Linked DNA regions of Saccharomyces cerevisiae S288C. Changing the gene in region 1 together with any one later gene gives a genetic interaction. Each region holds a gene or a part of one and is shown in the gene's direction. Other genes may lie near its edges.

What was found.
Region 2: mutations in YFL051C (region 1) and CTT1 together harm fitness more than expected from each alone (negative genetic interaction), as found in Saccharomyces cerevisiae (2 studies listed by BioGRID).

The regions. Positions count from the first base shown.
Region 1 is NC_001138.5:29,319-32,299, reverse strand, and holds YFL051C (uncharacterized protein), read left to right. Parts: upstream 1-1,759; coding exon 1,760-2,242; downstream 2,243-2,981. Other genes in the region: ZNF1 (DNA-binding domain containing protein), read right to left, coding at 2,671-2,981.
Region 2 is NC_001139.9:652,634-656,938, forward strand, and holds CTT1 (catalase T), read left to right. Parts: upstream 1-2,000; coding exon 2,001-3,689; downstream 3,690-4,305. Other genes in the region: PDC6 (indolepyruvate decarboxylase 6), read right to left, coding at 1-348. UniProt on the Saccharomyces cerevisiae protein: Occurs in almost all aerobically respiring organisms and serves to protect cells from the toxic effects of hydrogen peroxide.

The DNA.
Region 1 (2,981 bases):
GTGCACTAAGGAGAGTCAACTGCTCACAAAAATGTTAGTCATTATAGAACACCTTGTGAAATTTCGATCGATATCAAAAACCCACACATTTTGTAGACTTTATATGGGGAGAAACTATCGCTCTATCCCGCCGCCTCCCTAAATTCCAATATCCAGACTTTTATGCTTTTCAAATCATGCCATCTAATACTAAAAAGCGCAGGCGTTGTGCGCTTGGTTTGTGTAAGTTAACCAAAAAAGTTAAAAGTATAAGTCTTCTGCATCAAACTAACAGAAAAAAAATTTTTTTTACACTTGAAATGGTTATTGTCTGCTTATTGTGAAGTACGAACATCCTAACAAACGTTGTATGTTGCTTTCTGCGTTTTTCCTTACAGTGCTAGCGTAGAGAATATGAAAAAGAGGGAAATTAAGCAACTGCTTTTTCTATGATTTACCACTGTGAGCCCAAAACTTAACGTGCACCAACACGTGTGCGGCAACCTGGCTGGCCTCTCAATGTAGAAGTAACTGGTTTTCTTCTTGCCCTTTATTTTCTTGTTTTTTAGAACCAATCTCGAGCACTTGGATAATGCAAAACAAATACAATCTATGTCTTCCACACCATCATTTTACTATGCCTGCCACCATACATTTGTCTTTTGCACCATATCTTCATAACCTGTCACCTTGAAACTAAAAAAATATTCACAATGGTGCATGCTTGAAGCACAAACTAGATTAATTTGTTGAGTAAATCATGTGGTTCCAAGGAACAAAAAAAAAAATGCATTACATCACGTTCCTTGCTCTGTATCTCTTCACCTGCAATTACTCAAAAGAAAAAAAGAAATATAATTTTCCTTTGAGCACCCTTGGTAACTTATCTAAGAACACGCGATGTAATCGAAATTTAATAACCTAAAAAAGAAATAGAGATCGGTGACGTTTGACGCTAGCCAATCTCCACGAGATTTATCTGGAAGGGCATCACCCGTCAAAACACTAAGAAATTTGACACCTTATTTTTTTTTCTCCGAAACGTTCTGAGACGTTTCTTTTTTTTTCAGGACGCCACCCTAAATCCGAAAAACCTTACTTGGCATTAGTGTTGTAAAAATTTCTTTTTTCCATCGTGGTTCTGAAAAGCTTGCAGAAAAAAAGTTCGAGAACGTTTTCGTATGACTTATTAAGCTGCCCTTGAACTTGCCTTCCCTCTTCTTTACTATTTTCAGCCAGGGACAGAAATAAAGCAAAATCGTTTAACTTTTATGACCGTAACAGGTAACAATATCTGCTCAATTCGGTTAGTAAAAAAAAAAAGGTTATCGTAGGTTTACTATTTTCACATCGGTGCATAGAATCTATACTCTACTTCCTTTGGAGGGAATTTAGTAGTGCTCGATTAGCAGATAACAGCGCAGGGTTCTATGTAGTACGAAGCACTATCAGGTTTTTTAACGTACGTGAGTTGTTTTTTGTTTCTAATTTTTGGCTTGCCTGGGATAAACGGTGCCCATCAAATTATTAAGACCTGGTGAAAAGAGCGTACCTACATGGGTATCGGGGTTTTTGCCAGAAAGAGCTTTAACTGCAATTGATGCCTACCGGAGATTATTTTGATATCAAAATGCAGGAACGATATCTACTTCCCTAAAGCAGAAAACAAAACATTTTTTTAAAAGTCTTTCTTATATAAAGGTAACCTTCATTTCATGATAGCCAGATGATAATCTTAATGTAACAATTGGAGGATACCAGCATCCCTCCACACCTTCAAATGTCTATACCCCATTCCGTATTTTCGGCACTCTTGGTCTTCGTGGCGCTAGCTACTACAACCTTAGCCAGTACAGAAGCTTGCTTACCAACAAACAAAAGGGAAGATGGTATGAATATTAATTTTTATGAGTACACAATAGGCGACCAAACCACATACTTGGAGCCTGAATATATGGGCTATGAATACTCCAATACAAAGAAGTTAGGTTCCGTTAGCGGACAGACCAATCTCTCCATATACTATAGTCCGCCTTGTGAGAGCACTCCTACCTGTGTGACTTATGCAGTTTTGAAGCGTGATGAGGATGGATATGATCCTTGCGGACCTCTTTATGAAACTAAAAAACGTGACACTGAATACTGTGACCCAAATACTGCCTATTGGAGTTCTGATCTTTTTGGTTTCTATACTACTCCAACTAATGTAACTGTGGAAATGACAGGGTACTTAATATGGAGTATGGGCAACCGACGCCGTTGAACCTCTCCTTGGAGATTCTGATAATTTTATGACCATGACTTCTCGTGCACCTTACAGGAAACTTTAATGGCCTGATAAGTACAGCTATATTGTGATCACAATTATTAAAAACTAACTCATTTCATCTATAACCAAGTACAAATCGCACGACTATCATGACGATAAAAGCGTATATCCTTGATTTAATTCACATCACAATCACCCCCCTTGAAAAAAAAATAAATTTTTTTTCTTGCTATAATAGCATAATTGTCCACAAGTTCACTATTAGTGCTATCATTCTTCCCCACTGCCGCAAAATTGCAAAGGAAATAATTGTTTGCCCTGCAGGAACCATATACTAAAGAAGAAATAGATGCTATTAGCCTCTTCAACTGTCCGTAATCACTACATCTTGAAAGGTAAAATGCAAGTAGCAATGTGTTTACTTAAGGAAGCGCATCTACATCTTCTTTAGAACCATCTGTCGATTCAAGCGGATTAGAAAGAGGAAGCGTGATAAGCGCACACTGACACTTTGTCGTAAACTTATCAACTAATGTGCTATCACAATGCTTAAGAGAGAAGACAAATTTGGATATATCGAACAAAAAATTCCAAGCCTCCGACTCTGCATTTTGATCGTACTGATTCACAACATCTACCAATGCGTCGGCTATTTCTAGTGCTTTCACTGATATCCCTGGACCGTGAACTGCATAAAGATTTTTTGGGATTAAAAATGTGTCTTCTAACATGT
Region 2 (4,305 bases), on another chromosome or scaffold:
GGTATGATGCAACAACAATTGCTTAGCCTGAGCGGAGATAGAGGGGACACCAACAACATGCAGTACACCGACGTGTTCTGCATACGATCCTGCAATACCATTCAAGGCGGATAATTCACCTACGCCAAAAGTAGTTACCAGCACAGATAAACCCTTGATGCGTGCGTAACCATCGGCGGCATAGGCGGCGTTCAGCTCATTTGCATTACCAGCCCATCTCAATCCATCTACCTCGTAAATCTTGTCCAATAGGGACAAGTTGAAGTCGCCTGGTAGCCCAAAAATGGTGTTAACATTAACTTGCTTCAATCTTTCAAATAAGTATTTTCCAAGAGTAATTTCAGACATTTTGTTGGCAATATGTTTTTGCTATATTACGTGGGTTTTTTATTTATACTGTATATAAAAGAGGACTGCAATAGCACAAGATTAAGATAGAATGGCTTCAAACAGCCGCCTTTTATACATATTGGTAAAAGCTCGCGAATCGCACCATATCCCTTATCCTGTAATCAAATCGATCTAGGTGCAGATACAGATCAATTCATAAAAAGAAATTGAAGCACCAGTTTATCACTACTACACTATCTTTTTCTTTTTTTTTTTTTTTTGCGAAGTTTCGCCCTTTGTTCAATATCACTTGATAAGTTGTGGGCTTTTTCTGTCACTCATTCGGCTTAAAAAGTATTCGTTCTTTTGTGTTTTATGAAAAGGGAACGTGATATAAAAAAACATCCTTTGGTGTGGGACATGGGCTTTTGTTTAGAGAATGGTTATCACTACCGCCCCCACCCTTGAAAGCCACAGAAAATGAAAAAGTATGTGAATAAGGTGTGAACTCTATAACATTTTGGCCAAATGCCACAGCCGATCTGCATATTCCAATGGACATAATGCAACAACAATTGATGTCACATTCTCTTACACACTTCGATTGGTCCGTACGTAGTACTTTTTACATAACTGACTCAGGCGTTTCCTTCATTGAAATGCTCATCTATTGCCAAGTACATAGAATCCACAGTGCATAGGTTTATGAGATGCTTGGAAGATGTACGATCGCCTGCACTATATTAGTATATTTTTTCAGGCTTTACAAAACCAGAAAGAAATTACCGACTGTAATACTTAATTTCCATGATTTTAATCGTATGGTCCGTGAGGAAAGAGGAATTTTAGGTAAAAAAAAACCTTTGTCTATCAAAACATAAAAGAAAAGAAAAAAATTAAATTGAATAAGTCAGCTTTTTAGCATGACCACAGTAATAATAGTAATACGATATCAGCATGAGCTGCTAAACATTAAGAATTTTTGAATTGTGTTCGCTGGTAAGAGAAAATAGGGTAGCATTAGTTGCGAGATGGAAAATTAAAATATGCGTCATAAGGTATTTTCGACGTTGAAGATTAGGGGTTGCAAGTCCGAGAACTAAACTGCCTTCACGACGTCAAACTTATTGTATGGTGACAATAAAACGAATTCAAGAAGCCAGAGATGATGAGGAACCGATGACGAGGCACATGGGGATAGAACCTCCGTTATCTCCATTCCGCGTTGAGCAGCTCTCCTGCGTGCTTTCACAGAGACCCTAAGCCAAGACCGCGGACGGCCCTCTTTTTCAAGGGGATCACCGGTAAGGGGCCAAGCGGTGAAATTGCGTATTGTTTCCTCCTATCAATGATGAGTACGTCGCCGATCCAGAAGGGTTATTATTGTCATTGCCAGTACTATTCGTATGCTGAAAAAGTATAGTTCACTTCACCCTCTGGCTGCAGGCTAGCCTAGCCGATAATGCCCCCGACTCCCTCAACAGGTAGAATTTGTAAGGATTCGACGTAGCCTGGACACATTGTGCATTTATCGTATCCCCTACTGCTACACGTATAAGAAGTCGTTGCTTTACCTCTATTCCAGAACTCAATCTTGTCGTTACTTGCCCTTATTAAAAAAATCCTTCTCTTGTCTCATGCCAATAAGATCAATCAGCTCAGCTTCACAAATGAACGTGTTCGGTAAAAAAGAAGAAAAGCAAGAAAAAGTTTACTCTCTACAAAACGGTTTTCCGTACTCTCATCACCCATACGCTTCTCAATACTCAAGACCAGACGGCCCTATCTTACTGCAAGACTTCCATCTGCTGGAAAATATTGCAAGTTTCGATAGAGAAAGAGTTCCGGAGCGTGTAGTCCATGCCAAAGGTGGTGGTTGTAGACTGGAGTTCGAACTAACAGATTCTTTGAGTGATATTACATACGCCGCTCCATACCAGAATGTGGGTTACAAATGTCCTGGTCTTGTTCGTTTTTCCACCGTTGGTGGTGAAAGTGGTACACCAGACACTGCAAGAGACCCAAGAGGTGTTTCTTTTAAATTCTATACCGAGTGGGGGAACCATGACTGGGTCTTCAACAATACTCCCGTCTTCTTCCTCAGAGACGCTATTAAGTTTCCCGTATTTATTCATTCGCAAAAGAGAGACCCTCAGTCTCATCTGAATCAGTTTCAGGACACTACCATATACTGGGATTATCTAACATTGAATCCGGAATCAATCCATCAAATAACTTACATGTTTGGTGATAGAGGTACTCCTGCTTCGTGGGCTAGTATGAACGCGTACTCTGGTCATTCCTTCATCATGGTCAACAAAGAAGGTAAGGACACATATGTGCAATTCCACGTCTTGTCGGATACTGGTTTTGAAACCTTGACTGGAGATAAGGCTGCTGAACTGTCAGGCTCCCACCCTGATTATAATCAGGCAAAGCTGTTCACTCAATTGCAAAATGGCGAAAAGCCAAAATTTAACTGTTATGTGCAAACAATGACACCCGAACAAGCAACTAAGTTCAGGTATTCGGTAAATGACCTAACGAAAATATGGCCACACAAGGAATTCCCTTTGAGAAAATTTGGTACCATCACCCTAACGGAGAATGTTGACAATTATTTCCAAGAAATTGAACAAGTTGCATTCAGTCCAACGAACACTTGTATCCCAGGTATTAAGCCTTCTAATGATTCCGTTCTACAAGCCAGACTTTTCTCCTATCCAGACACTCAACGTCATAGATTGGGAGCCAACTATCAGCAATTGCCCGTCAACAGACCAAGAAACTTGGGATGTCCATACTCCAAAGGTGATTCCCAATACACTGCCGAACAGTGTCCATTTAAAGCAGTGAACTTCCAAAGGGACGGCCCAATGAGTTACTACAATTTCGGTCCTGAGCCAAATTATATTTCCAGTTTACCAAATCAAACTCTGAAATTCAAAAATGAAGACAACGACGAAGTATCTGATAAGTTCAAAGGGATAGTTCTTGACGAAGTAACAGAAGTTTCTGTGAGAAAACAGGAACAAGACCAAATCAGAAACGAGCATATTGTTGATGCCAAAATTAATCAATATTACTACGTTTATGGTATTAGTCCACTAGACTTCGAACAGCCAAGAGCTCTATATGAAAAGGTATACAACGATGAACAGAAGAAATTATTCGTTCATAACGTTGTTTGCCACGCTTGTAAGATCAAAGATCCTAAAGTCAAAAAGAGAGTTACGCAATACTTTGGTTTGCTAAACGAAGATTTGGGTAAAGTCATTGCAGAATGCTTGGGAGTTCCTTGGGAACCTGTTGACCTTGAAGGTTATGCCAAGACTTGGTCCATTGCAAGTGCCAATTAAGGCAGCACTATTTATTCATAATTATTCGTAATTATATCTCCATAATTATTTATTCATAAGTTTTCTTTAAGTTTATTCTCTACATCACTAGTTATTACAAATTGGTCGTATGTACAAGCACTAATATTTCATACTTATCGTACTTCATACATAGCAAATCCTGTTAGGAAAAATATGGCAGCAAAACAGATTGGCTGCCTACTTTTGACACATTTTTTTCTAATTCGGTACTTAGATCGGCATGAACTCAACGATTATCGCATTATACGGACAATCTGAAAAAAAAAAGTAGCCTAACTTATGCAGTTGTGTGTTTATAACGTTGAATTCCTAAACCTCTTGAAGGTGTAATATAACAAGTAACATAACTAGGTTTTCACAACTCGTTAGTTTCTATTAAAAGAGGAATAAACAAATTTTATTAGGACTAAGAGGATTATACAGAGTACCAGCAGAGAAAACTTTAAATTCTTTCTGTTATAATAATATCTTACCAAAGTTTTTTGTTTTCTATCTCCACATTTTTCGTACCATCTCTTTAGGTAATCACTCTGAATAACTTTTATTCATATACACCCCAATATTTTTTAAGATTCCACCTATCTCCGTTACATAA